4 linked regions of the Lonchura striata genome follow. The protein of the gene in region 1 interacts with the protein of each later gene in a biochemical or structural test. Links are inferred from orthologs where the notes say so. Each region holds a gene or a part of one and is shown in the gene's direction. Other genes may lie near its edges.

Region 1 (7,240 bases):
TTCCCAGGGACTGCTGTTCTCCAAAGGGCATCAGCAGAGTTCCGAGGGGCAGGGGCATCCTGAGGCGGCACAGGACCAGACTGAGGTCTGTTAAACAGAGCCTAGGACAGACCCACCCTGTCAGGATGAGCAGGTCCTGCACGTGGGCAGGGATGGGAGTGGGGGTGCAGCAGGGTCCTGGATGGAGCTTTAACTCGGCTCTTCTCTGTGTCACCTCTGGCTGCAGCCGCACCCTACAGGGACCTGCCGGGCTCCCTCTCTGCGCCCATGTCGGCGGCGCACCAGCTGCAGGCCATGCACGCGCAGTCGGCTGAGCTGCAGCGCCTGGCTCTGGAGCAGCAGCAGTGGCTCCACGCCCACCACCCCCTGCACGGCGTGCCGCTCCCCACGCAGGAGGACTACTACAGGTGCGTGGAGCTGCTCTCTCCTCACAAGAACACCTCCAGGCCCAGCCCTGCCATGGGGCAGGCACAGGCAGTGGGAACAGGGAAGCACTGCCCATGGAGCGGGTGACTGTGCCCAAGCCCACACCGGGAATGGGGATGCTTTGCCATGGGGCACCGCTGTGGCTGGTCACCAGGAAGATCATACTTGGCAAGTGGCTATTCAGTGGCTAGTTCCTTGTGAGATCTCAGCTCCTCCGGCTGAGGCGGGAGATAACTTTATTGTGTTTCACACGTGTTAATGCAGTTATGAGTAACTGATACCCCTGCCAAAATACAAAACATTTATAAGGGTTTGATGGTTTTGCCAAGATAAGGAATTCATGTGTGCATGGGAAGGCACACTGGGAAAGAGAGAGGTGGAATGTTGTACCTTTTCAATAGCATCTCTACTTAAAGATCTACAAAACCTCCCAGGCCAGCAGTGTTGTATGGGTCCAGATGAACAAAGACAGGGGAATGGTGTAATATTGCCTTTTTCCCTTTCACTATCACCTTGTTCTTTTTATCCTAGCCACCTGAAGAAGGAAAGTGACAAACCCCTTTAAACGGACTTCTACTGTCAGTGTGACATCATCATGTCTTTCTCTCAAGAGAAGCAATCAATCAACCAAATCCTGGGGGAAGGGAAGCTGCAAAGTGACACATCCTGATCCCACCATGCAGTAGAGTACTAGAGAAGATGACAGAAAGTATGGGATGGCATCCTGGGAAGAGTGGAGAAGAGAAATTAGGGAGGGACTGAAACACCACTAATGGACCTGAAGCGATTGGTACGTGATTTCAGCTGAGCTCTGAAGAGAATCAGCATTGCACAGAGCTCAGAAAGACAAAGCCTGACATGAATTCAGGGTGGCAGGAGCTCCATCCTTTGTTTTGGGGGAACAGTTGCATTAAATAAAAAGTGCAGAGCATTGCAGGACTTCATGTACAGGATGCTCCTGCCTTTTCTGCTTCTGCAAGGAGGAGGTGCGGCCAAGAAATAACCGCAAACACAAAAGAGCCTTTTTTCGAGATGCTTCCTCAACACCCCACCCCCCTTTAGGTGTAAGATACTGCTTAGCGATACAGAAAAACAACGTGGAACTTTTTCAGATTTAGCCAGAGCAGCTTCCCATTCTCCCAACACCCCTTCAGATGCAAACAAAGCGTTCCAGGTCCCTTCCTGAGCAGCCTCTCCTGCCTGCGGAGGGTCCGGTCCCAGCCATCGGGGTGCAAAGCACTGCAGGACTGTTTGCAGGACGGTGGCTGTGCTTTCCCCAGCTGCCGGGAACGGGCACGGCCATGAGGTGCGAAGCACCAGCAGACTGTTTTGGAGACTGCCATCAGCACCGTGACCCCTCTGAGCCCCGTGGGGAGAGCTGGCGTGGCCCAGCGGTTACACTGCGTCCTGGGACTGTCTGTAAAGATGGTGGCTGCCCCTTTCCCCTCACCCATCCTAATTGATGTACTTTAACTCATGCACATCCTATTAGACGTGGCAGTTTTATGTAGCAACTTGTGACTCCCTTGCCCCCGCGTGCGTGTTCTGATTTCACAGTTGTATCTCTCGATTGGTCCCCCATATATTATATATATTTACTTAACCATTAAAGGAGAAAACAACCAACAACCCAGCTATGGAAAAGAAAGAAAAACAACCACCCAAACGATGTTCCCCACGCACTCCCAAGCCCTGACACACATTCTAATAATTTATATATATATATAAATATATATATGAAGCTCTTAAAAAAGGAAAAAAAAAAGACAAAAAAACCCTTTCAGAAACGGGACTCTGGTGTGTTCATTTCTTTCCAGTGGGGCTAGAACGGGAACGGCAGAAGCACTCCCGGTGAAAACTGGGAGAGGCTGGAAGCGGGCACCGCCTCGGGAAAGGCGCGGCGGCGCCGCGGGGAGGGGCGGGGCGTGCGCACCGCGGGCCAATGAGAAGCGATAAATTTGCATACGGGCCGGGCGGCACGGCCGGGTCCGTTCGGCGGCGGCGGAGCCGTCGGTATCGGCGTGGAGCGGGGCGGGGGGACGGCACCCGGACGGGGGCCCACGGAGGGGCTCGCAGGAGGGAAAAGCGGACCTCGCCCTCACCTCGGGGTGGGTCGGCCGGGAGGGGCTCCTCGGTCGTGGCGGAAGGCGGGCAGTGATTTCAGCTCTTTTAGAATTTGTCCAGCAGGTTTCCCGCGCTGGCGGGAAGCCGCTCCCACCGCGGTGCAATGGCAGAACGGGGCGGGGAGGCGCAGCCGCGCTCGGGCCGCGCCGCGCCGGGGCCGCTGCTCGGTCTGGCGCCGGAGCCGCGGCCGCCCCGCCGCGCCCCATGGCGGCCTCCGCGCAGCCCCCGGTGCCGCCGGCGCTGAGCGCGGAGCAGGCGAAGGGTGAGTGCGGGAGGCTCCGTCTCCCGGGCGGGCCGGCGGCGGGGCGCCCGTGCCGCCCGGCTGGACGCGGGGGGCCGGCGGGCGGCTGAGCGCTCGCGTCTCGCAGCGGTGCTGGCCGAGGTGATCAAGGCGTTCGGGGCGCCCGAGAACGCGCAGCGCATGGAGGAGGCTCGGGACAACGCCTGCAACGACATGGGCAAGATGCTGCAGTTCCTCCTGCCCGTGGCCACCCAGATCCAGCAGGACGTGATCAAGGCCTACGGGTTCAGCAGCGACGGCGAAGGTGGGTTGTTCCCCCGCCGGGCGGGATGCTCCGGGCCCGCCGGGGCAGCGGGGCCTCCCGCCCACCCCCTTTCCTTGCAGGCGTCCTGAAGTTCGCCCGGCTGATCAAGTCCTACGAGTCGCAGGACCCGGAGATCGCCAGCATGTCCGGCAAGCTCAAGGCCATGTTCCTGCCGCCCATGACGCTGCCGCCGCACGGGGCCGGCACTGGCGGAGTTGCCGCCTCCTGAGCCCGCGGAGTTCTCCCGGTGCTCCGGCTGGTGCCCTCCTTCCAAGGTGCGGGTCCTGTCAGCGCTGGGAACGGAGCACTTGAACAAGGGAGACGCGATCCTGGAAGGAATGGGATGTTTCGTGCCCCGCTCGTGTGTCTGCTCGTGAATAAAACGTGTGTTGAAAGTGCCCGTGTTCTATGAATGGCCGTGAGCTCAGCAGTGCTGCTCCCTGCTGCAGAGGCAGGTACAGCAGTGCTCTCTGCATGACACTTGCAACGCTGTTTTGGAAGGCCCAGTATGTGCCATCTTTTGCAAAAAGGTTTGTGCAGAGCCTCAGTGTGAAGCCCGAGGATCCTATATCAGAGTGACAGGTATTAAGCACTTTACAAGGGCAAGCATTTTCAGACTTTCTGTTTGAAGCATACTGGGAAATGCGTCCCTCAACACAATCTAGTGCTGTTCAGCAAGTGTTGTAAATGCCATTGAGGCTCCTGTCCCAGCAGGGTCAGTGCTAATTTACTCCTGCCCCCAGTGCCTGTGGCTGCCTTGTTTTGTGGCTGAATGTGCAATCCAGCACATTATCCTTAGTGCAAAAGGCAGCAGAGAGCTGCAGCAGGGAGTGTCCGAGCGTAGGAGGACTGGACTTGCCCCATTTTGCTGCAGCCTGGATTAGAACAACATAAACAACATACAATTTTTATCTCACGTTTTTTCTTGGACTGCAGAGGGATCAACCTAGTGGTGCAGCCTTGCTCCTTTGCAATATTTTCTTTCCAGTGTGGTTCAGAGGGACACCAAGGATGTCCGCTTGTAGCCTCCTGCCCTTTGTCCCTGTTGCCATTGGAAGAATTGAGTTATTTGGCGACAGAAGGGGGGAGAAAAGGGCTGAGCGTGAAGGAGCCAGGCCTGGGAGAGCAGGGAGCCAGGTGTGAGCGAGCTGCGTTCTGTGCTCCCGGTTACAAACCGGGCAGGAATGCAGCCAGCGAGGGCGTGAGCTCAGTGGATGGGAGGCAGGAAGAGCAGTCGGTCCCTTCCGTCTCCATCTACCTCTCCGAGCTTGGCCTTGGCCTTCCCCCACCCCTCTGATTATTCATTAACTACAGTCCAGGAAGTGCTTTGCAAATGGTGAGAATTAAGCCCGCGGCTTGAGGCCTGAGGTTTGCCTGACCTGGAGCTATCAGTCCGCCTGGGAGCGGGCGGAGTTCGGGGTTCGCCGGTGCGCGCCGGGCTCAGGTGAGTCACGGGAGGTGCTGCAGCCGCAAGCAGCGCCGGCTGCTGCTCAGCGCCCCGGCACTCACCGCCATGAGCATCCAGGCCACCTCTCCCCTAGCAAGGTCTTTGATCTCTCCCCCAAGTCCCTTTCAAGATCTTTTCTTGGTAATTCCAATATTGCTTTATTTTCTTTAGTGGGACCCACTTGGTTGAGGGCTGTGGTACTTCCTCCACCAGCTCCTGTCAGTCCTCCATCAGTGGGGATCTGAGAGACAAGACCCTGATGCCATCCCGTGGGTGAGTGCTGTGAATGCTAGTTAGGGCAAGAAAACAAGAGTTGCTGGTGAGAAAAATAAAAATAGCAGCAGTAGGAATCAGACACAAAAGGGAAAACCCCACAGTTTTTAATAGGAGCTGTCTATTAGAGGTAGCCAGAGGGCTGACTCCTCTGGTAGAGGTAGCCAGAGGATTGGAGCTTGCTGTGCTTTACATTTTTCCTGTTGCTCCTTCTCCCTTTGATAATGAGCAAACAGGGTTTGTGATGCCCAGTCTGCTGCAGTTCCTCTGCCACCCTGCAGCATCTCTGAATGGTTTTGCAGAGAGAGATGTCAACTGCCTGGCCTTTAAAATACTAGTCACTCTTTTATTTGCTGCAGTCTATCTAGCCCTTTATGGAACAAAAAGCAGGACATACAATCCTCACAGTCGGTCCAAACAGGTACCTTGCTCTGGAGGCTGCTGTGGAAGGGTGTCAGGAAATGGGATTTGCACTGGCATGGCTCTCTGGTAAGAATTTGGGTAACCACAGTGGTCTAGCACTGTGCTGGAGCCCCAAGGCCTGATGGAGAGCATGTGGCTTTGGCAAGTCACAAGAAGATGGTCCATCTGCCCGTCCCCAGGCAGCCTGTGCTCTGCACTAATGCCTGAATTACAGCAGACTTCCGTACAGAACAGCAAAACCTCCTGTCTGAAATCATCTCCATAACACATGCAATGCTCATTCTCAAAAAGGGCTCCAAATTAGCTCCCCCAAAATGTGAGGGAAGCATGGAACAATAAAGTTATTATCTGAGCAAAGGATGCACAGTATAATGGGGAAAGCAATGAATATGATAATAAAGAAAACACCAGCATCTGCTTTTGTAAAGGCAGATATGGTCCTGTAAAACTGGAGGGTTTTGAGGGACTTAGCAAGCTTGTGGTCTGGCCAGTACAGTTTGCTTGGATTTAAAGAATTTGACAAGATTTTCTCATCAAAGTCTTCAAATAAGGCTGAAATCACAACATTAAAAAAAGAAGGTGAAGGTTTTCCTGGGTAAAGATTTATTAGAGAATAGTAAATGGAAGGTGGGAATTAATATCCCATTTTTATAGCAAACGGAAGTCATCACTGGTCAGATCACAGGGGTCTTATCTGAAATACATGCTGTTCAGTATATTCCCAAGTTGCCTGGGAATACAGCTTGGTGAGGTGAGAAAATTGGATGATGATAGAAAGTTATTGAGGATAACAGGGTGGGAGTTGACTTGTGAATAATTTCAGAAAGACCTAATGATTGAGTGGGCAGTAGAACAGGAGATGAAAAGGCTTATGTAAAACAATGTTCATACAGAAAAATAATAGAAAAATTGCATATGCAACAATGACTGTGAACTAATGATAACCTCTCCTTGATTATAGAACTCCATGCAATTGTTAGCTTAGTGCTTGGTTATAGTGAACATCAGAAATCATCACTGTCCATGATTCACCAGCATTTTGGACACCACAGCTCTGTGCCCACTTTCACTCTTACCTCCAAATCAAAATGCCAGAATTGGAAATATCTCTGAGAGGGACAGCAAAGGTGGTCAGAGGTATAGAATAGTTCTCTACAAAAAGAAACCCCTTAGTAGGCCTGGAGTCTTCATCCTGGCAAAGAGTTGAGGATGGATACAGATGTTTCGGGTCTGTTACCATGAGCAGCTTGGAGCAGGGGGTGAGAAACAGGAATCGCCCAGATTTTTCTTTCTTTACAGCAACCAGGTGTTAAAAAAGAGGCAGGGAGCAGGTTATAAGCAAGTCAAAGGAGGGGGTGTTTCTGTAACTGAGCAATAGAGCTCTTTGCCAAAGGGCACAAAATTTGTTGTGCATTTGACAGTTGACTACAAGTAGCTGCTAACAGAGGCTTAGGAAGTAGGAGGGCAAAAGAAACTCTGTGCACAGTCTTTCTCTCTGCTCTTCCTTTGACAACCATTTTGACCTCTGGATTGCCTAGTCCCAGCCCTGCAGCTCCAAAACTAGCTCAGGTGGCTCAGGGCCTGAATGCTGACAGTGGCCAGGGTGGAGGTTCCTCAGCTGCTCTGGGGACCTGTGGCAAGTGCTGAACCCCCCTGGGGCGGAGCACATGTGCAGTTTCTCCTGATACCTAAGCAGAATTTCCCTTGCTGCAAGTGATGCCTGTTGCCTCTTGTCTTTATGTTGTGTCCCACAAAACAGAACCTGACTCAGCATCTCTAAACCCCCACGTTCCCTTTTAGGTAGTCTCAGAGAAGTGTTAAAGCCCTCCTTAAACATTTTTTCTTCAAGCTGAATAAACCCAGCTTGCTCTCTGCTATGCTCCAGGCTCTTCACTGCATTAGTGGCATTATGCTGGATCCTTTCCAGTTTCTCAGGGCCTTTTTTTTCTTGTAGAATCCAGATGTGTGTCTTTTAATTAGCTATTTCATTTATCTTCTGCTT
Region 2 (7,657 bases), on another chromosome or scaffold:
CTTAATAGAAATTTTCTCAGTCTTCTCCCTTGCAGATTTGCTGGTCTGCAAGCACATCTTCCTTGTGCTGCTCTTTGAGATAAAGGAAATTATATTCTGTAAGTAGATCTATAATGTAAAGGACTAGGTTTATAAATTATATCTCACAAAATTTGGATCCCTAGTTCCATGTCAGGGTGCAGTGTAATGGAAGTGATGTACTTAAAAATTACACTTAATGCTTTGTTGTTTACAGATATTGCAAACAGTCCTTTTAAAGTTTGGCTTCCAAAGCCCATAAGTGCTCTGTTCTTGTAGAATTCCTGAAATTCAGGTTAAAAACCTAAAGACGCAGGTGACTGTTACTATTTGTTCTCCCAATGTGTTCAATGGAAGGTAAACAAGAAAGGAGGTATTTCAGTGCTTTTTTTTTTTTTTTTTTTTCTTTGAAAGTCGCAGTTTATGGAATGTTACAGTGACACCTCGTGGAAAATAGTGTTGGAAGTTTAAGAAAAAATTCTGCACCATTTGAGTAGTTCGTTTGAATAGTGTCTTTAATATTACTATTTTATTAACTAACTGCAATGGTTAGAGCCCATTTGTGCGAGGCATGTGTGCACTACCCCTATACGAGTGTGCAAAGACTCACTGACAAGACTTATCCTCATCAGTAACAGCCAAGCTTTCCAGTTACAAAGGGTTCATCATGTGCATTTGATAGTAACAAAATTTCCTTGTCTGAAAAGCCAAATATTGTTTTGTTATTGTTACAGTGCTGTGGACTTTTTCTTCAGACTGAGATGCACCTTGATTATATTCCTTATGAGGAGTTAACCTGGTTCTTAACCTGGTGTAGTCACTGTCCCTGGAAGCATTCAAGAAACCTGTGGACATGGCATTTAGTGTTATGGTTTAGTTGGCATGGTGGTGTGCAAAGATTGGACTCAGTGATCTTGGAAGTCTTTTCCAACTATATTGATTCTATGATTCTGTCTTTCTCTTCTCCCAGTGCTTCTCCCTATACATCCTGAAAAAACATTCTAGACATCCTAACAACCAAACAGTTCTTTAAAAAACCCAAAACAAATAATAATAAAAAAAGACTACTTAAATGCCATTAAAATATTTTTTTAAAGTTTGAATTTAGGCATATTTCTTTACCTTCACTGCATCTAAGTTAGTAATTTAAATCCATACCAACCAGCATTCTTAATCCTGAGTGGCCACATAGAACAATTGTTGAACTCTGTCTGATTTTAATCCACATCGGCACTAGCACAAATAGTATCTGGAAAAAGTTTGGGATATAGTAAATCTAAGAGCCATTGCACATAGGTATTTCAGCTATGTCTATCTTCTCTTGGATTATAAGAGATTTTTAAACTGTGGATGTGGGTTATCCCATGCCACTTGCCAGGGTATTGATGTGGGTACACTGAATTTACTAGTATAGACCTAAAAGTCCCGGAGACCAAATCCTGAAAGTCCTAAATCTCCTAACTAACCAAAGCCAAAGTTCTTTGCTTCAGGAAGAAATTGCAGCTTTCATCTGCCTGTCATCAGCTTCCTCTTTAGTGTTGCTGGTCACGTGAGCTCTGATGAAACTTCTTCAGCCAAGATGAGCTGGATTAGCAGAGACCTTTATTTAAGCAGTCAGACTAAACGGGCTTATTTTGGCTGGATCTAAGGAGCTCCTTTTTGAGCAGCTTTTCTCATGGGCCGGAATGGGGGCAGCATCCTCCTGGAGTGAAGTGACAAGCAAATTGGGTGGCAATTCCCTGTCATTATTTGACACTGGCACAATGAAAATGTAACCTATCAATTGAATGCTGTGAAACTTAATAACAAGGGGAAAACTTTATTACACTACTACTACTACTACTACTACTATAAAGGGGAAAAAAACCACACAAAATTCAAAATGAAAACCTTTCAAAACATTCCTCCTTCCCCTACCCAACTCCAATAAATCACAGCGAGACACATTTAGACCCTTAATCAAGTCTTCACCCTTCCACATAATACTGAGTCCATCAGGGGACAGAGGAGTCTCCCTTGCACCACAGACCCCCAGGAAACACAGCTGCCACCTCTTGTGTTTCCACTTCACACATGGCACCGCCCAAACACACCTGCCAGTGTGACACTCTCCTCTCCAGGCCACACTGCTCTCACCACCGTGCATGGACAGAGACTGCTTATAGGGCTCCTTTAAGGATGCTTTGCCAAGGACCAACAGTGTCCAGTGTCTCATTTTGGGACTACAGTCCCCCCATTTTCCCCTCACACCCTCCTCAGCTTTTCTCTGTTCATTCCTGAACTGGTAGTTGCTGGAGGAGTTTCTTGGCTCACCATTGCATCCCCCTAAAATGCAGTCTCTCTTGGAGGAGAAAATGGTTCACTCTATGGCTAACAAGAAGAGTCCAGCCAACAGCCACTCCATCATCTCCCCCCAACCTTTTTTCCCTAACATCTGCGGTCCCAGGCTGTCTCCCTTTCCTTCAAACTGAGGAGGAGCAATATTCCACAAAGCCTTCATTTCACAGGAAAGGGTTAAAATTCCCGGACCCCGGATGGCTGAAATCTCTCGGCCCAAGATGCTGTGCTGTCTCCCATGCTGGGAATCTTCCCCCGCCTCCTCCTTCTCCTCTGCCAGCAAACTCCCAGGTGTCTGCAGGCTCTTTATCTCTTTCCTCTAGTTTGGGGTGGGGTGGGGTGGGGGGGGAACAAAGACATGTCAGACGTTCTCCACCCTTCCATCCTCAGGAGCTGGCCCAGCTTGGTTCCAGACCCTTCATCCCCTGGCCTATCTCTGCAGGCCATATGGCTTCCCCTCCCCACCCAGCTCACTGCTGGGCAGGGGAGGTCTGCACTCTCCAATGACTGGAACCAAAGAGAGTGAGTCCTCCTGGGAATTCTGCTTTTAACCCCTCTGTGTTCTCAGAGGCGTGTCCACCCTCAATTGGTCACCCCGAGTGTCATTATCCAAACCTGACCCCTGACTGGATTGATCTCTTCCTTCTGAGAAAATTCTTTTCCCGTGTCAAATCATGACATTCCCCCACACCTGTGTAGCTGGAAGCCCTTAGTTGAAGGCAAATCTCACTTAAGATGAGCCTTACTCTCATCTGGAAGCTCCCTAGAATAGTGGTGAGACTGAGATAATGCACAAGGAGACCCTGCCAGTTCTTCCCAGGGCAACAGGAAGATAAGGGAGGAACCTAGTCCTAAAAGCCTTTCCTTCCTTGCACCACACTGAGCCACGTTCTTCCCAATATTCACTGTCTGTCTCCAGCTTGGCTTTCCTCCTCCCCCTTTCCTCCTTCTTTAGTGCATTTACTCCTTTCAATGCATGGACAGAACAGGACAAGGAACTCTACAAGAGCCTGAGCCAGCAGATTAATGCCAACCAATTCACCTCTGCTGTTGCTGGGTTAGTGTTAACCAGTTTCTCAGCCTGTTCTATTGGATGACTGCAGAAATGTTTCTTTGGCAAGTGAATGGGACTTTGAAAGGTATGGTGGAAAAGCAGGTACCCTTTCTAAGCAGCAATAACAGGATGCACCAGCCTCAACTGATCATCAGAATTCTGTGTTATTTATAAAGTAGCACCTTTGATTTGTAATGAGTAACACACATGCACAAAATGACATAACATTTGTGTATATATATATATATATATATATATATATATATATATATATATACATACACACACACACACATATATATATGTATGTATATATATATATGTGTGTGTGTATGTAAACTGTGTAAACTGGATTAATCTTCTACTGGGGAATTACTCTGTGGCTATCTGTGCTGGTACAGCACAGATGTACCACAGACCAGAATCTGGATGTATCAAACTCAAATTTAAGGCTTGACTTTCCATGGACCTCTTTAATGTGAGTCTTCAACTTTATGTAAGACTCTGACCACTCTTTAAATCAGACACACAATTTATCTATCAGATTAATTTTTCTTCCATGATATGGATGCACACTTGTACAATAGTGCCTCCTCATCTAGTGAACCCCTAGCAAATTGGGTCTTGTTAGTTTGTGTCTAGGTTGCATCTGAGGGCAGACATGGGTCTGTTCTGTGTGTTATTTTAATGTGGAAATTGAACATCTGGAAACAGTCATTCAAATAAATAATTAATTTAAATTTTTGCCATGTCTGATATGATCAATGGTATTCTAACAAAGTTATTCATCGTCACCAACAAATTTTCTTAGTTGCATCCATGTACAAATATTTAGAAATAGCTTAATCTAGTCAAAATTAACATTAGGCCTTTTTTTCCCCACTGTTTCCTTGTTTCCGTGTGGCTTGGAGCACCTGATTAAAGGCATTGCACTTAGTTTCCGTTTTACGTTTATGATATTTGTGTAAGTTGATACACTGACTTTCATTTGTCAACTCTTTTGTTTCAGTGGCTTAATAAGAAACTATAAAATAGAGGTTGCATAAGTTCAAGACAAGTGCTCCAGGAAGCTGAGAAGTTATTGAAGGAGCGGAGTGTAAACAAGGATTCAGAAAATATTTTAATGATGTAACATGCAGAAATTTCACAGTTGTATTTCTGTCACCTAAACTAAAAGGAGTTTGTATGGCCAAGTTAAGAGAAGAGGCAGATTATCAGGTGAAATTGTTAAAGTTATGAAGAACAATTGCCTGTGGGTTTTCTGTCTAAAAAGGCTTGTTGCTTTTTTCTGCCTATGGATTTCTGCAGTGTACTGTGCTTTCTCAAGGAACTGTCAAAACTTATGTACAAGTAACCTGGTAAGTTTTCAAAACCTGTACCTAATCTTTTGAAATACAGATTGTTGTTAGCACTGTAAGAACTTCATATTACATGTCAGTGTTCTCCCTAAAGAATGTATTAAGAGCAGAGCTTGAGAATTAATATTTAACATTTGAATTTGTGGAATCAGGTAAGGAACAAATCCCACTACTCTGCATGTAATTACTATAAATGCTAACAACCCTGGAGGGTGGGGAAGATAAACTTGTATTCTTTCAGTTTATTCACTTTACTCATTCATTTCAGTCTAGTCCAGGTCTTTTGTTATATAATCGAGGAAAACTGTAAAGTCACAAGAAATCTTTTCTGTGACACACACAGCTATCCTGAACCTAGTTGAAGTTTAATTTTTAAGTTACCTGGTTTAAATTGTGGGTAATTCTGTAAGTATTAAAATTAGCCATCAGATCCTTAGTTTTATACTTTCTTAATATTCCTTGGAATAGTGTGAAATACATTCTATGAATGCAAGACAAAGATAAGCAAAACCTCTGAAATCTAGACAATTATTCTGCCTTCAGGAGTTGCCTCCATGCTTCTATTTGCCAGAAACATGTTGATGTGTTTTAGAGCACTCTGTGTATCTTTGCTTTGTAAAAAAGACATTTTGTGCCTTGGTGCTTATTGTGGAAACCTGCTGCAGAGAACTATCAACTACTCTATTTTATTTCATACACGTCCCTGACAGTTTCTTTAAAACTATTTGGAGCTCTTGCACCAGTCAAAGAGTTAATTGCCTTCCCTGATGGAAACCTATCATGCAATGATAACTTTAATGGGGATCCTTTGATTTGAGTTTAAATTATCTCAGAATAAGAAATAAGCTGCTCTTCCTTTCAGCTTTGAAAGACAGGGAAATCACATTTATGTGAAAAATATAATCTCTGAGAGTTGTAAATTTTATTTTTCTCCTTTGGTCTACTTGTTGTGTTTGAATTTTATTTTATTTTATTTTATTGTGAGAGCTTTGATTCTCACTATTGTCATGGTGTACTCATTCTGCTGAAAATTTCTTCCTGAGAATTGTTTTATTAAGACTGCTCTTACCTGGTTTCAGGTCAAAAATTTATGAGCTGCTATTCAGCTTCTCTAAGGTTGCCTCAAATCATTTGCACTTCAGTGACAGTGATGGGTTTTGCACACTTTGAATGATGTGAAAAAGCAAGCACTTTTGTTGGAGAGAACTTTTGGCAGGAGAAGAAGGGTGGTGGTGATCACCATATGGCTGCATAAAACTCCTTCAAAAGGTGGCCAGACAAAAGGCATTTAGCTTGAAGGAAGGTCTTTCCGCACCCAAGAGGTCAAAGCCACTTGGCTTTGTCATTTAATCCCAACACATTTGTGAAGCATTTGTTATTGACTCAGTGAACCAGAATGGGAAGGTAAGAGCCAAATTCCTACCTCAGATAGTTTGACTAACACTAACTGATTTCACTAATGTCTTTGTTTGATGGTATCTCGGAAATCAAGTGAGAAGATAGTTATTAAAAAAAAAGTTCTCCAGATGAGGAAACATCAACCAAAGAAAATTTGGTTTACAAGAATGCAATGACTTAGTGTGTTTTAATCAAAGAATTCTGGGGAAATATTTTGAGTCTTTTAAAAAATGATATTTTTTCCTACAGGAAGGAGAACTTGGAATTACTAACCTTTGCAATGTTAGTGACATCACTGGAGCGGTGAGTAATGTTTTACTTTATTAATTACTGACATTTTATGTTCCTGCTATTTGAATACAATGGGTACAGTGATCATATTTTCAAAGAATTCATTAAAATGTGCACAGTTGCCTGTCTAGCATGTTACTAATTTGAGTGGGTAGATTTCGTCCAAATTATTAGAGACATGGCTATATTCTTTATTTAAAGAAAATGTGTAAAGGGTGATGATCTCTGCTGTGAGTTATGTTCACATTTGTGATCTACAAAGTGCATAACCTCTCATTTTTGAGACAATGAGTCAAAAATAGTGTTGCCTCCAACATGCAAATCATTAAGACTGTGTTATTCAGTTTCCTCTGTTCAGTTAAGTAGTTTAGTTTTCTCAGTGATTCAGTGTAAGAAAACTTATAATTGTTGAATATTTAGAGTTCTCTAGGACTTCAAATGGTTGTGTCTGTCATGAGGGCTTAACCTGAGCTTTTCATAGGAGCATTCTTGGAGGACTTTAGCTGATTTCCTATTTCAGATTGCAATTCAAGCTGGTGATGATAAATAACATAGAGAATAAAAATGTTCAGCTTCCCTGAATAGGCTGCTGAATAGAGTTTAAAGACTAACTGGCAAAAAAAAAAGATAAAAGGATGTAAAGGTATGCATGCAGGATGATAAGCATGGTTAGAACCATAGGAGAAACAGATAAAGAGGACTACAGAGGGGTTTTTGCAAATTATGTAAGAAGAATCAGCAGCTTATGCCCAAAGAAAAGGTTCAAGGAAAAGTCACCTTTAATATTGAAGCATTCAGTGAATTTGGCCACCAGAGACCCCTCTTGATAAACCCCAACAGGACTTCCTGTAGGAGGCAGATACATGGAAATTAGTTCTAGGAAAGTGATGTTTATGTGTTAGACAAGAAACACAATTTACAGGTATGATTATAGTAGATAAATATCTTGTTGTAAAGTCTCACAACACACACAGAAATAAAGTGTCCTTCTGTGTGTCCTGTACAGATGAAGAATGCCTGCTTTCTAATGGCTCTGATTGTGTTAGAAAGCCTTTTCCTGCCAATTTCAGTATCAGTGATTACAGATATTCTTTGAAGAGTGGTGGAGAATTTGCCACAGACTAGTGGCAAGCAGCCACTCACCACCTGGTATCTAGTGAGGCTGGGCCATTTATGATGCTGGGACCATAAAAGTCTTTGT
Region 3 (7,770 bases), on another chromosome or scaffold:
ATATGTAGAGAATTGGAAATCTGTTAGGATCAGAATCCAGTTCCAAGTTTGTGAATGGACAGGAACATTGGAACTGCAACAATGACCAAAATCCCACATTGGCAACCAGTTTACAATATAAACTCTGCAAGTTTCTATAGAATTGAAGCTACAAAGTAGCTTTGTTTAGGTTAGAAAACAACTGCCTGACTGAATAAACGGAGATTGCTTAGAAACAATGTCAGAGCCAATATGCTGCTTTATGGGTGTCAATAGTTCATTTGATTAAAGTAGCAAAATGGATTGAGTTAATTATCATATCTTTAGCTGTCAGAATAGTTGGATATATTTGAAATACTGCTGTTTAAAAACCTTAAATGAAACAAAAAACTTTTGTTCTGACAAAAGAGAACATTTTTGAGTTTTTTAAAATAAACCTGTACCAAGAAAAAAACCCCAAAACCCCCAAATCCCCTACCAAAACCCAAAAGAAGGCCAAGCAAATGGAAAGGCTGCCATGGAAGCACTGAATGAGAATTCCTCAGGCTTCAGCAGCTCCCACAGACTCAGGTTTCCAGTGGAGGTGGGAGTTCCCCAGCACAGCCCAATCCTGCAGTGGGGACAGGAACAGGGCTGGGGTGGGAACCAGAGCAGGAGCTGGGATGGCAAAAGGGAGCTGGGCTGGTGGAAAAAAAATCCTGGGGGTAACTGGAGCCTTGCAGAGCCGAGGTGTTGGCAGCTGCCCCTGGGCTGGAGCTGGGGAAGAAATTGTGAGCACAGGGGGAAAGGGTTTGAGCAGTTAGCCAGACTAAAGGGTGTGTGTTTAACATGCTTTAACTTAAGCTCCAATGTCTCCATCAAACTGGTGACCTCAGGTACAAAAGTGGTGTTCACTGGCAGTTCTGTCCCTGGAAGGCACTGTTAGTTCAGGAGGGTCATGTCCAAAGCAGAACAGTTCCAGGTGTCCTTTTGGCCCCTTCTGTGTCACAGGACAGCTGACCCTGCTTGGCAGCTCCTGAACTGAGCTGCTGAGCTGCACTGAGCAGCACAAACACTGGAGCAGTTCTTCAGTCCCCAGTTCCTCCTTCTCAAGATTGCAGCAGCTTTTCTTGTTAGCAGAGCCCTTCACAGCTCATGGGAACAACTGACTGCTAGTTGTCACAAAGTTTATTTTCTTTTTTCCTTCCCTCATCTCCAGCTTCCCTTTCTCAGACTTAGCAAGCATTTTTTTCAGTCTTTCCTTGACAGACAGCTCTGTTGAGGTCCCCTAAGTGTTCTCTGCATTTGTTTGCAGCATTTCTGGACAAACCAGACACATAATGCCACTTATGACCCAAACAGAGTGGAACAAAACATATTCCTGAGCAAACTGCTCTTGCTAGAATATCTCTAAGTATTTGCCTTATTTTTTACAGGACTTTAGTAGATATTTGATTCTCTTTGGTTTCTGGATAGAATCCAGCTGCACTCTACAGTGGCTGTATTTTAGGATTTCAGGCCTTTCGGAATTGCCTAAACTCCATCTTGACACCTGCTCAGAGTAACACAATTCACTGACACGGGAAAAGATGCTTCAAGTGTGCATGTTTTGTTTCCATCCAGGAAAGTCTTTGCTGAGGATTGAGTTCCTATAGAGAACACTTTTTTTTCATTTGCTTTGTATGAAATTGGATTTGAAGCCAGTGTCTCAGACAGTTTTATTCAAGCCATACATTCCAGAGGCAGGGAGGTTGGTTAACATTTACCTCAGGTGCTGCTCCCATTAAAGTCTCATATTCAGGGTCCATCTCTGGCACTGGCAGTCACCAGAGTGGGGCTGGCTGGGGAGGAAGCCTGGAAGTTCCATTTCTACAAATTGCTTTTTCAAATTGGCCTAGGTGTGAATGTGAATATCCTGATACTTTCTCCAGGAGGAGTTTAACTTACACCTGAGCCAGGTGTGTAAGGGAGGACATTGATGTGGTAAAAAGCATTATCCCACCTCACAGGGTCTGCTTCCCTTATCTCCCTTATCTGGCTCTGACCCCAGCTCACTGCTAAGCAAAGGTCAGATTGTTGTGCTCATCCTCCCAAGGTGGGTGATGAAAATATCTAAAATTTCAGAAAATATCTGAACCCCCTCTGCACCAGGGTTGTTCTTAGGATCAGAGGTTTGTCCACCACACATCCAAAACCTCTCCTTCCCTTCAATCTGGCCCCAGCAAAGCACCAAATTAACGCTGACACTTCAGCCTCTCACAGTTACAGGTAGGTGACACAGCCTGGGCACTGGGCATGCCATGGTAAAGGGCAGCTCTAGGATGTCTAGGGTAAACATTCCAGGGTAAAAGGAAGGATCTACCCCAGTCTTTTTAAAACAAATGTGGGCAGGACAAAAGAAAACCACTTCATAAAGATCCACTTTCTTTGGGATGTGATGAACGTGAAGATTAAATTCTCACAAGGTTTGAACTTTTTTTTTTGGCTCTAGGGATATGGAGTAACCTGAGTTACTCTAGAAAAGTAAACCCTTCTGAAAGTGGTTCAAAGCCCTTGACTCCACTTAAAACAGAGACAGAAGACCACCAGAGAGAGGTGAGAGAAAATGGAAAATGTTGCTGCCCTTTGAAGGCAGCAGAATGTCGGCAGTGTGAATTTCCCCCCTGTGTTGCTTAAAATGGTTTGAGTCTCACATTTTCAATCATCAGTCACCAGACCAGCACTGCATCAGAAAAGTCTTACCATTGGCAGCTGTTATTGAGGGGACGCTTTTTTTGGTGTGAAGGTTGTGTCACTGCAGGCTATAAAATACCTATGAAACACTTAGTGTTTTTAAAAAGAGGGGAAAAAAATCTTAATAAAAAAATATGCTCCCGATAATAGCAGTGTTCCTTAGCTTTTGAAAATCCAAGAGCTTAAAATCCATCTCATGAGATTGCCAGCTGCTGTAGGAGTATATCTGAAAATTCATATATAGAAAATACAAAGTGGTGTTTCCTCAGCAAGCCTTACTGAGACACCACATCTGATGTGCTTATGATGTTACAAAAGAAGCTGTAGAGAAAGACAGAGCTCACATTCGTGTGCAGCTGGGTTTTGCAAGAAATGCATGAAATCTGCACTTAGCTATGATGCACACAGTGCCACAGACAGGATGCAAACAAATAATAATAGATACATGTGTTAGAATTTCTGTGTTAGCTGCTCTTGATGCTGGGAGATTGCCTTCAGAGGTAACTGCTTTCCTCCTTTCTCAGCATCAGAATAAATGATGCTGTAATTCTCCTTATAACACCACCAGCATAAATTTTGACCAGACTAATTAATTTCATATTAGTACAAATAAGGAGTAACACAATTGCAATTAGATCTGCTACACTGGGTTTGGGATAGAAACCAGATTAGAGGGTAATGAGACACATCTGAGAATAAGCAATTAGGAATTTAACACAGGCTTCTCCCTGCCTTCCTGCTTGTTTCCCTGAGAGATCCAGGGGCTGTGATGGGATGTCTGAGGTGTAGTTATGTAACCTCCCCTTTACCACTGCTGACAATGCACCAGCAAAGCAACTTTTCCTTTGGGGATTCTTTGGCACCAGCTCCTTCAGTCCTATTTCATCCCCAGACCTAGAGGTGATAATATTTCTGTGATATTGTCAGGACCTGCCTCAGATGATTCACATAGGTAATTTCAAGTAAGAACCCAGAAAACACAGCTGTAGCATGTATTTGATAAATGCTACTCTTCTTAGAACAGCTCTGACAGCAGTTTAATTCCAGAGCGTTTTAAATACCATGCTGCCATCATTTACCAGAATTTCTACAGGAAAAAAAGTAAGCTACTCTAAATCAGACTCTGAACTTCAAAAGGAAAACTCTTACAGTGAAGACTGGTAGGTTTGATCTCAAATACATGCACTCGTGTGCAACACACCTGCAGACATGAGGCTAGGAGGCTGTCAGTGACTGGAGACAAGAGGGATGCATTTCATTTCTCCATAAAATGAAGAGGAAATTTCCTCCCCAGCGCTTCAGAACTATGCACCTATTCTTACCAGTCCAGGAAACTCAGAAATTTTGTGCAGTCTAATGGAGGAGTGAGGCCAAGGATTCACAGCAGCACAGCACAAGTTCCACGAGAAGGGAGAATGGACATGCTGGCTCTTTTTGAAAAGGACACACTTGGAATTACTCTATGTAATCTCAGCAAAGGCACCTACTGATAGGAGGGTGCCTGAATTGGTTGTGCAGGACAGATGAAAATTTATCACATCCCTGTGGTAATAATATGGTTTTGTGGGTTCATTTTCAGATACCAAATCCTCATAAGAAGTAGCCAAAAAATGAACTATTGATACAATGGCAACATAATAATTTTTCATCTAAACTTGTACATTTTTTAGTTTCACTGAGTGATTCTTTATTTGAAGGGATATTGACTGCAATTCCATCATTAATTCATTATTTCCCCATTATGTGCAGCTCTGACAATAACCTTTAATTGTACAAATAAGGATATTTCAGGTACTGAGGTAAATTAAAGCAGTTTCTCTTAAGTCAATGTTTTCTTCTTAGTGGGGCCTTACCAGAAGAGTAACCCACACCTATGCAAATAATATTACAATATTTTTATGCATGTATAATGTGAGTAATGCAATTAAAAGCAATTAGGGTCCATAGGCATTTATTTCTGTGTAGCAGGCAGAGCATTTTCAACCCTCTGCTGTGCTTCCTTGTTTACTTATTTATATTCAGAGAAAGGAAGTGGTAAGGCTGACTAGCTGAAACTTCTCGGAGTAGAGACCATTTTGTACCAGAGGAAGCAGTGTCTCTCTGGAACGAACTCACAGCATCATTTCAATTGACCAGAGCAGTTCCTTGACAGAAGGAGCTGGAGGTTGGGCAAGAAATTCCTTGGAGGTGGCCACAGAGAGGGAGCCCATGGCAGTGTCGCTGGCAGCAGGGCTGTGAACGCTCCCTGAGCCTCGGGGGACACCAACCATGGACCTGCGGAACGTCCCCTACCGCTCCGACGTGCTCACCTGGGACCCAGAGGACTTAGCAGAATATTTCAGGACGGTGAGTTTGGCCCTGGTTTGTCTTCATCTGATGGAGGAGCAAACTGCTGGAACGTTGGTAGGGCTAAATTCAGATCTTTTGTAATGGGCAAAGCTTGCTGCAGAACTAAAAGCAAAACCGCTGTCAAATGAGAAGCTGAGCTCAACTGGTCAGCGAAAATGAATCTTGAAAGGGATTTTTAAATTGGGTTTAAGAGAAACTCATGGCTTACTTAGAGCAAGGGAACAGGTTAGTACAATGCTTGTTGGTGTAACACACGTTAACAGCTGCGGAAGGCACTAAGGTGTGAAGATTACAAGTTTTCTGTTTAATCTTCAATCATTTTCAGAAGTGATATTTTTTTCCAAATTGCTGGGTGTAACAAATGAGCCTCTGAATGTCTTTGTTAATCGCATCCCTGGCTAGACTTATAAAACTTGGCACACCTCGGGCTTAATTTTGAAATAATGTGAAGTTTATTTTTGTTTTTTCAATGGCTCCTATAACTGTGAGAGTCTTATCTAGGGAGGTGAGGAAAGTTTGATAGTGGAATGCAGAACTACTTAATAAAGATAAGCAGATCAAACATAGAAACTGTGTCTACCAAATCTCCAGAGAAGTGAAACTGCCAACTACTTACAAGCCCCTAATTTTAGGGTGCAGGAGTTAGTGGCACAGGAAAGTGAAACCAAAAACTGGAGATGGAATAGATGAGATCATTATCAACAGGCAACTTCAGACAAGTACGAAAAACATTACAACAGCAGTGCAGAGCAAAGTTGGACCACCATTTCCAAGAAATTAGGAAGGCAAAAAACGGCTTTCTGAAAGATCTGATAGTAATATCCTGAACAGTGACAAAAGGATCAACTGTAAGTTCTACCATCACTGAATGCACATTTATCTGCAGTGCCTCCCTTCTATGGATCAAGATCCAGAATGGAGATACTGGCATTCCACTCTTGGGAGCTAAATCAGGACAAAAGCTGTTTAAGTAATCTAAAAAATCTGGGTGAGACAAGAATGTCAGCCCAAGTCAGGTGGCTCTGGGCTACTGTCACAAGTGAACAGAGCTTATCCCTGAGATAAACTCTGAGAATATTCTATACTCAGAGATCTATATAAACTCAGAGATATTATCTCTGAGATAAAGGATGAATGAACCAAATTTTCAAATAATTTCTGATTTTTTTTTTTGGTTTAGAAAAAGCAAAGATGTTCATATTTGGGATATTCCAAGGTTTGTTTTTAATACCTAAAGAGCATTTTTAAATCAATTACTTCAAGATTGAGATTAGGTCTCAATCACAGGGATGTGTTGCTTCCCTCTGCATACAGACTTGTGCTGGTAACATCACAATAGCGTTCACTGTAGGAAAGAAATTATATACAGGTTTAAGTCTTCAGTCTGCACTGAAGTTTTAATCTGTATCCTAAAATATTTACCAGAGTTTTTTCATATGAATAACTGAAGGTAGCTCCTAAAAATATCCTCTCTGCTGTTCGGTTGTTTCCAGGATCCGTACCCGAAGTTACAAAGTTACACCTTAAAATGAAAACTGGGATAGGGCTACAAAGCACATGAAGCTCCCTGGGAAACCTCTGCTGTAGGGGAGCTGTCCCAGCAGCACAGGGTCGTTTGCAGAACTTTCACCACTGAAGTTTCAGACAGAATAAAAGTCATTCTTTTGTCTCAGAGCCTCCAAAAGTTTCTTTGTCTGCTCTTTGGGCTCCTTCTGATAGGGACCTGACCAACTTGAAACAGATCTAAGCTATAAATTGTGTTCTTACACTGTACTATTACAGTTCAAATTAAAAAAAAAAATAAATCCCAAAACAAAAATCAATCAATCAAACAAAACCCAACAACAACAACAAAAAACCCAAACAAAAACCCAAAACAAGCAAACAAACAAAACCAACCAAAAAAGACCAAAAAAACCCCAATCAAAACCAAATTTAGGACAACTGTTTAATGTTTAAAAGTCATGCCTTGCTTTGTGCTCAACCTGTACATGAGCAGCTTCTAAAGAGCATATCCTTGTCCTAAATGCTACTGGAAGTCATAATACTGTGGAAAAGCTTTACAAATATTATAGATAATTTCCAGGATTAACAAGTGAGATTTCTATCCAGAAGTGAAAGCTTTTTGATCACAACAATGAATTCTGTGACTGGGATCAGTCAGCTTTAGTATTCCTGGATAATCAGGTTTTTGCTTTACTTCTGCAGCTGCTCATCCCAGTCAGTACCACAATAATCCATTTTTCAAATATTTCTTTGGGCCAGGCAGCTGTGAGGTGGTTTCTAAGTGTGAGGAATAACATGTTCCTAAATGGATGAAAGCCTTTAAGTCACTGAAGGATGTCTGTCATAAAAATCTTTGTTTATGGGACAAAATGAGCCATTTAGGTGGGCCATAGCATACAAAAAGGTATCTACTCAAAGCCAAACATATGTTGTCTTAATTAATTCTTAGAGTTAAGGGTGCAACAATCATCTTCTTCTCATTGACAGCTAAAGTATAAGGACTGTGAGAAAGTCGTGAGGAAGCACAGCATAAATGGACAAAGGTTTTTGGTAAGTGGAGCTGTAAAATTCCTTCCTGTAAAATTCCAACTAAGTGATGTTTGAGACTCCTCCTTATTTTGCAGATGGAGAGCCACCTTCCAGGTGGTTACTGAGGTATAAATATGGGAGGTAAATGCTTTTGCTAAAATTAGCCAGACAACTTGCTTTAAATATGCAATGCTG
Region 4 (7,493 bases), on another chromosome or scaffold:
CTGAGTCAAGGAGATGTCTCCCCTTGCTCCCCTTTTCCCCCACAGCCTTCTGCCCCACCACCTCCCCACTCCCTCCAGCTCCTATTGCTCCCAAAGGCAAATCTGTGGCTTCAGACCAGCATATCCCAGAGCTGCATGGCCCCACTCATATCCCAGTCCAGCCAGGAGCTTTCAGTCATTCCCTAAATCCTGAATGCCCCAAGAGTTACCCCTCCTCTCTGGCAATGGAGACATCAGTGCAACCCTCTTGCAGAGGACAGCCCCCTGCCTCATCTCCCTCAGCTCCACTGCAGACTCGTGTGTGGCCTTTGGCTCTCCCCAGATGCCTGAACCACCCCTGTGCTGTCACTTGTGTCCTCAAGCTGAGGAGAGTCTGCAGAGCTGATCCCCAGAGATGGACCAGGACAGCCCAAATGGATGTGCTGCCACACAGCTCCCCTCTCCCCATCCAGGGCTCAGTGATGCTCCTTGGGATCTGGATCAGCTTTCTTGGCAAATGCAAATGCCACAAACTGACAATTCTCAAGAGGGCACTGGGGACAGGGACACATGCTGCCAGCCCTCACTGCTTCCCAGCATGTGTGGGCCCTGCTCTCAGTGGGTTGGGTGTGTGACTCCCCCTGCACTGCTGGCGAGCGTCCTGGTTTCACTCCTTGGCTGTGTTTCGGGCACGGGGCAAGCAGAGGGTTAACAATTCCCACATTAAAGTGGCTGCAGATGTGTGGGAAAGTCTGGGGCCAGAGGACAGCACCGTTATTAGTATTCACCCAGGAGCCTGTCGCTGCCTCCCGGGGCTCTGCCGAGCACATTTAATACCAAGGTTCGTGGCGGGGGTGAGGAGGAGTGCGTGGGACGGGGTCGGAAAGGCCCCGAGGTGGGGAAAGGCAGCAGGATAACATCGTCCTTGGCTGCTGCCTCCTCCCAGTGCCCCAGCCCAGAGGATGTAGGCAACGGGCCAGCACCCCTAAGGACACAGCACAATACATGGGTACAGCCCAGTGTTACCTCCTGACACTGCTGGCACCCTGTGGTGTCCATGGCCAGGGTTTCCAGTGCTGCAGGAGTGTTCCCAGTGCTGGGCAATGCTGCAGGATACTCCACAGGATGCTTCCCATCATGTTATGCTTGGGCATGCACTCACTTTGGAAGAAGCCCAGCCCTTTCTGCCTCCCCTTCTTCCCTGGGCACTGGTGTCACCCACCCAGTGCAAGCAGGACCACACACACACACACACACACAGACACACACACACACACACACGGTACAGGCTCCTCAGGGCAGAGCTTTAGAGATGCTGGATGAAGCCTCGGGGCAGCTCCCTGCAGGGCCCAGGGGCTGCATCCAGCCAGCAGCATGTGCTGGCAGCTGCCACAGCAGATGGGCTGCCCAGATGTGGTGCTGTGCTCCCTGGCACCCGCCACTCCTCTCTTGTGCTCTGCAGCTTCACACCACTTCAGAGCAACGCTGAAATTCCTGGGCTGACTTGGAACTGATAGAGGCTCTGAAAAACTGAAGCTGGAGAAAATCTGGCCCTCATCAAACCTTCAAAGGAGTGGAGTAGGCCAGCACCTGCTGCTTCTTTTGTACCTGCCTGTCACCTGCTGGCACATGGTACCTGTTGCTGACTCAGCATGGTTGTTTCCACCATTGTCTTGGGTCACCTGGCTCTGGTCTCTCTCCTCTATATCAGGCTTGGGATATGGGCTTTTCTCTGTGGTCCCAGCTCTGCCTGGGATGGGGCAGGAGTTCAGAGAGCTGCTTTTATCCACGTGATGCAAGAGCAGACCAAATACCCTGGAATGTCCTGTTTCAGTGGTTGATTTCCCTACCAGAGATGCTGCACTACATGACCCCAAGCCCCCATTAGCACTTAACAACGCTTATTGAGGCTGGAGATCTCAGCTGAGAGGGGTCTGGCATCCCACACTGCAGCTGTCCCAGCCCCAGGGGGACCACTGGGTCCTGCAGCACCACGAAACACCAAAAATAGAGGTGAGCAATGAAGGGCTGATGATGCTGAAGTAGCAGAGCTGCTGCCCTCCACCCCCACACTTGCACAGGCGAGTTCCTCTGGCTTTGGTGCTTCCTCTGCGCTGGCCTTTCCCAGGAGCTGCTGTAACCCCAACGTGCTGTTCCTAAACAAAATGTGCGGCTGCGGATGCTCCCTGGGGATGTACAGAGTGGGCTGACGTGTGCTTGCCGGGATGCTTTGGGCTCCCCAGGGCTCTCTCAGCATCCCCAAACAATGAATCCTGGCCTTTGCAAGACTGGGAGGTTTTGTTTGCCAGATTCTTCCTGGACCCAGCCTGGAGTGGGTATTGGGACCATCTGTTTGCAAAGGACTGAGGGAAATACGTCCCACTTCAGGCTCAGGATGCTCTACCCTCAAGCATGGTCTGTGTCATCTTTTCCACCCCCTGCTCATCCCAGGTAGCCCATCCCCAGTGCAAGGGGCCCAGCAGGATTGCAGCAGTGGGTTTCTCCCTCTCCCACTCTGCCTGGAACAGTCACGTCCTTGGAGCGGGGACACTGCCAGGAAACAGCTCTGCTGAGCAATTCCCAGCAGCCCTTAGGTCCCCACATATGGACCCAGCAGACACATCTTTGTCCCTCGGGAAAAGCCCTGGGAAGAGCCATGTGCAGAGCACATCCCTCTGCTGCCTGCCCCCCACACGAGCTGCTCTCAGCTCGCTGCCTCCATTTCTGCACAGCAGCTTGTCTCAGCCCGGGGGCTGACAGGGCCCCTGGCACAGCCACCACCAGGTCTGGAGCTGGGGGAATCCTTCCAAGCCAGGGCTGCATCCCTCCTGCAGCTGTCCTGCTGCCAGGCACAGCAGCCCCATGCCATGAGTGGCACACAGGGATAGCCTGGCTGCTGCAGCCTGGCTCTCCTCACACTCCACAGCTGCACAGAATAAACACCTCCCCTTTGGTTTTTGATAGATAAAAAGAAAACATGGAGATAATGTGAGGTAAGCAGCAAATCTCTTGGGCTGGTCCAGCCAGGGGATCATTCCCTCTGGCCATTGTGCAGGCATTGACTAGCTTGGCAGGAGGGGATGAGTCTGCCTTGCAAAAAAGGCAGAAACACAGATTTCAGCAGTGTTGTCATGGAGAGGGCTTTTTAATTCTTAGAAAGGAAAATTAAAGGAAGATGGGCAGGTATCTTTTCAGGATAGCAGTGCAGTTTTGAACTATTTCTTATTTGGATCAGAGAGAAACACAGAATGGTTAAGGCTAAAAAAGATCTGTAAGATCATTGTAAGATCATCTTCACCACTAGGCCATGTCCCCAAGTGCCACATCTAGACATTTCTGAACACTTTTGGGGATGGTGATTGCACCACTTCCCTTCGCAGCCTGTTCCAATGCCTGACCACCCTTAAGCATCCCCAGGATGAAAATCTTGGCAAGAACTGATGGATCAAAGGCAGTTTTCATCCAAAGATAACCTGTCCCTTGTTACAGTGCTAAAAAAAATTGAAAAAAATCCACTCTGCACACATGATAATGTTCTGCCTACTGAAAGTTTCTCAGAAACTTGATTTGAACTCCTTAAGAAGCTGGGAGGATTTAAAACTGGTTCATCACGTGGATTCCATCCCCCAGGGCAGCAGGGGTGTAGGACATCTGAGATGATGGCATGGCTGAGGTGACCACTCCTGCCACCTCTCCAGCTCTGTGCCCTCAGCAGCCCAAACAGCGCCAAATCCCCAGCTAAACCCACCCTCGCTGCAGCATCCCAGCTGCAGAAAGCCTTTTATCCCCCTTTCCAAAAAGAAGAAGAGTTGCAAGGGTGCGTTGGTGGTCCCCAAGGGGCAGTGGCCAGTCGGGGTCAGGGGCCAGGAGCGGCGGGGCCGGCACAGCTCAGCACAGGGAGGCATCGGGGGAGCACACGGAGTCAGCTCAGTGCAGGCCTTCTTTAATAAAAACATGAGTCAGCTGCTGGCGTGGGCAGTGGATTTTCTAAACATCCCCTCATATCCTGAGAAAGGGGAAAAAAAAAAAAAAAAAAAAGAAAAAACGGGAGGGGGGGGGGGGGCTAGAGGGGGGAAAAAAGAGAAAGAAAATAAAAGAAAAAGAAAACAGAGGGAAAGGCCAGAATTGAAAGCAGACACAGGGAGAGGGCAGCTCCTTCCCTCCGGTTTAAGGAGGCGATAGTCGGGCTGCTCCGGGCTCCTTTTGTTCCCTGTTAGCCGGGCCCTCATCGCTCGCCCCATCTCAGCCCGCAGCAGAACTCTCCTCTCCTTGCAGCCACTTTGGCTTCTTCTCCTTTTATTTATTTTTTTTTTTTCCTTCACCCATCACACTCGTCCGCCGGGCGTTAATCGCAAATTCTGCTCCGCAAAGGGTCCCCACAGAGGGTGGAGGGAGGAAGTCGGAGGAGCTCCGCTCCTCATTGGCGAAGCAGCCTCCCCCCTTCTCCTCCTCCCGAGGTCTCTTTTATTTATACACGCACGCACACACGCGTGCACATCCCTCGGCCCCGGGCTTTGCTCCACGCTGGGGTCCGAGGAGGCAGAGCCCCCTCCCAGCTGGGCTGGGGCGGCACAGGGCACTGCTCGGATGCACTAGAGGAGCAGAGCAGGGGCTTGGCTGCAGCCCAGCCTTGGCACAGCCTTGCCTCTCCTTTTGATTTTATTTTATTTTCCCCCCGCTCCTCCCTTCCACTTCTTTCTTTCCCTCTCTTTCGCCTTTAAGTGGAAAAGCCTTGCCAGCTGGGGAAGGCTGGGAGGGCAGGGAGAGCCTCAGCAGGCAGCAGATAGAGAGTTTGGAGGAGGAGAGGGAGGAATTTCGGAGCCTTCCCGGTGGGACGTGCGGCGCAGGCACTCGGCTGGCGGGACCCTGCTCAAGGTAAGCTCTTGTGTCGCCCACCCGGGGGCTGGCTCGCCCTCCTGCTCAGCTCTGGCTCTCCAGATGGGAAATGTCGTGTTGGACCTGGTACAGCCCCGAAGGACCCTGTCCCTGATCCGGCCCGGCTGCTCTGCAAGGGGCTCTGCTCCCCTCCAAGGGTTGGCAGCCCGAAACGCCCACCAAGCCCTGGGGAGATGGTGTTTGGTGGAAAGCAGCTGAATTCTCCGGCATCCCACGGGAAGGAACACGGCATCAGCTCTCACCAGCCCCTGGGTGGGGATGGCTGAGAGGAGCGAGGGGATGCTGCGGCTGTAGGACAGGAAGGGGGGACCCCACTGCAGTGGGAGTAGGGCCCAGGTGATCTCTGCTTCTCCCTGGATTGGGGCTAGCCCTGGCTCTGCAGGATGGTGGCTGTGGGAGGGCTGGGGTGTGCAGGGGTCAGAGGCTGTTCGCCATGCCAGTGAGATATCCTTTGGAGTGTGAGTGCAGAGCAGTGTCACCCCTGTCATTGCCAGCCTGTCCAAACACACCCATGGCCATCAGGCTGCTCCAGGGACCGTGTCACCTCTGTCTGTGGCCATGGCAGGGCTCCTGTGCCTGTGGCATGGAGAGGGACATGTGCAAGCCCTGCCCAGGGTCTGTACCTGGGAGTGCTGCATACTGGAGAGGGCAGAGCTTGGTAAAACTCTACTAGGCATAGATGTGGGTGGCTACTCTGCTGTCCTGAGAGCACAAGAGCTGAGGGCCTCCAGCAGGGCAGAGCTGGTCTGGAGTGAGGCTCTGACAGCCCAGGAACAGGGGTGAGCATGACCTGCGGAGCTTTGGTGCTCACAGTGGCCTTAGAGCATCCAGCTCCTGCATTCACCTGCCAACTGGGAGTCATTCAAAACAGGATTTGTGGTGGAAAGGGATGTTGTGCTTTTCCGTCCTGGTCCCAGAGCAAGTGGGATTTATGCTAAAGCATGGGGAAAGTAGCTTAAAGTAGTTGGTCTGGTGTGCACACCCTGTGCTGGCAGAGGCTTGGCATTCCCAAATCTTTTCAGAAGATCTCTCATTGATGAAAAGGATTAGCAATGTTGAGACCCAGTGCTTCCCAGAGGCCATTGAGGGGTGGCTGGGAGGGTCATTCCCCCTCAGCACCCTGCAGGACAAGATGCTTGTGCCTCCCATGCTCTTGGGGAAGGAGTGAGTTTCGTGTGGTCAGTGAGCCAGTGTCAAGGACGTGTCTCTGCCTGGCAGAGGACACAGGCCAGGCTGGCTTGGAGGAGGAGCTGCCAGGCAGCTGCCCTGCTTGGCAGCCCTGGCCAGGGTCTGACATGAGGCTTGGAGTCACTTCTTGACAGGGATGTCACCCAAGCTTGGGTGTGCTCTGGCTGCTGTGGCAGCCACCAACCCTGGGCAGTGTCCCTGAGCCCAGGAAACACCTCTAAATCAGTCAGTGCATCGGGGGGATCGGAGTTTTGGACAAGCACCAAGTCACAGCATGCACAGGGCTTTTCCTAAAGCTGGCTGTCCCTTCCTCCAGCTCAGGACTATGGAGGGTCCTCATAGAAGGAGCAGTCCAGGAGACAACAGCCACTCATGTCCCTGTCCCTGCATCACCTCCTGCATCCCTGCCCAGGACTGGGAGTGCGGGGTGCCCGTGGTCAGTGTGCAGCAAGCACAGCCAGCTGCACTACTGCAGTCTGGGAGAAGTTAGCCATGGCTTATTGTCCACAGTCCTGGGCACATCTTGTGGTGTGCTGCAGGGCTCTGGCCTGGGCTTGGTCCTGTGCAATCCCTGCATGAACCACCTGGGAGGTGGCTGAGCACACATCCTGCACCCTGGGGTGGCACTGAGCTGGGCGGGCAGCTGTGTGTGAGGAGATGCCAAGAGCTCCAGCAGAGTCCAGAAGCGAGCAGAGTGGCTGTAGTGGACACAGACCAGATTGCAGCACGGTGCCAGGAAACCCAAGCTCTTCCTGAGGGATGCACTGGAAGATGCATGGCTGGAGGCAGCTCAGAGAGGCAGGGTGGATGGAGCAGGTCCTCCCCAGCAAGTGACACCAGGTGCTTCAGCAGGGATAGGTGTGGAGTGGATGGGCTCAGGGACAGCAGTGAGGATGATGAGATGTCCAGAAGAAGCTGCAAAGGACTGGGAGAGGGGTTGATGTGGCTCGTTGGTCACTGGGTGTTGTGGGAAGGTGACACACAGCTTCATGCACAGGAAAAGGCATCACAGAGAGAAAAGAGATTTTAGGAGGAATATCTCTAGGTTTAAAACAGAAGGCTGAGTTCCTTCAGCATCACAAGTCTCAAAGCACACGTCAGGGAAAGCTCTGGCTGGAAGACATGGGCACAGGACAGTGACACCATGATCTCTTTCAGCCTCATTTTCAATGGGTCTGTGACAGGATTTCCAAGGCATTCAGAACAACTCTCTCAGGGAGAGGAGAGCACCGAGCCTGTCTGCAGGAGCAGAGCAAGACAGGATTGTCTCAGTGAACACCAGAGGAAGGCTGAGATTAAGAAATGCTCTCTAGCTGTGGGAGTAATGCCATGCAAAAAGAGACCATTGGCTGGATATGGCATTGGCCAAGTGTCCAGCTGCTGCCAGAGGCTCCAGGCAGAGACTTCTCTGCTGGTCCTCAAGGTTCCTT

What was found.
Region 2: of the proteins of PTPN6 (region 1) and ROS1, one has a biochemical effect on the other in vitro, tested with the Homo sapiens proteins (2 studies listed by BioGRID and IntAct). The link is inferred for Lonchura striata from reciprocal best matches to the Homo sapiens genes PTPN6 and ROS1.
Region 3: the proteins of PTPN6 (region 1) and LCP2 form a complex in vitro, tested with the Homo sapiens proteins (2 studies listed by BioGRID). The link is inferred for Lonchura striata from reciprocal best matches to the Homo sapiens genes PTPN6 and LCP2.
Region 4: the proteins of PTPN6 (region 1) and PDGFRB form a complex in vitro, tested with the Homo sapiens proteins (2 studies listed by BioGRID and IntAct, with this or other methods). The link is inferred for Lonchura striata from reciprocal best matches to the Homo sapiens genes PTPN6 and PDGFRB.

The regions. Positions count from the first base shown.
Region 1 is NC_134604.1:29,793,063-29,800,302, forward strand, and holds the start of PTPN6 (tyrosine-protein phosphatase non-receptor type 6), read left to right. Parts: upstream 1-4,233; 5' UTR 4,234-4,539; intron 4,540-4,713; 5' UTR 4,714-4,801; coding exon 4,802-4,815; intron 4,816-7,240. Other genes in the region: ATN1 (atrophin-1), read left to right, coding at 227-407, 958-991; C2H12orf57 (protein C10), read left to right, coding at 2,755-2,812, 2,919-3,095, 3,176-3,324. UniProt on the Homo sapiens protein: Tyrosine phosphatase enzyme that plays important roles in controlling immune signaling pathways and fundamental physiological processes such as hematopoiesis.
Region 2 is NC_134605.1:65,835,863-65,843,519, forward strand, and holds the start of ROS1 (proto-oncogene tyrosine-protein kinase ROS), read left to right. Parts: upstream 1-4,644; coding exon 4,645-4,767; intron 4,768-6,414; coding exon 6,415-6,468; intron 6,469-7,657. UniProt on the Homo sapiens protein: Receptor tyrosine kinase (RTK) that plays a role in epithelial cell differentiation and regionalization of the proximal epididymal epithelium. NELL2 is an endogenous ligand for ROS1.
Region 3 is NC_134617.1:14,843,377-14,851,146, reverse strand, and holds the start of LCP2 (lymphocyte cytosolic protein 2), read left to right. Parts: upstream 1-4,760; 5' UTR 4,761-4,959; coding exon 4,960-5,037; intron 5,038-7,533; coding exon 7,534-7,596; intron 7,597-7,770. UniProt on the Homo sapiens protein: Adapter protein primarily involved in signaling pathways within T-cells, as well as other immune cells such as platelets, mast cells, and natural killer (NK) cells.
Region 4 is NC_134617.1:6,433,450-6,440,942, forward strand, and holds the start of PDGFRB (platelet-derived growth factor receptor beta), read left to right. Parts: upstream 1-4,489; 5' UTR 4,490-4,854; intron 4,855-7,493. UniProt on the Homo sapiens protein: Tyrosine-protein kinase that acts as a cell-surface receptor for homodimeric PDGFB and PDGFD and for heterodimers formed by PDGFA and PDGFB, and plays an essential role in the regulation of embryonic development, cell proliferation, survival, differentiation, chemotaxis and migration.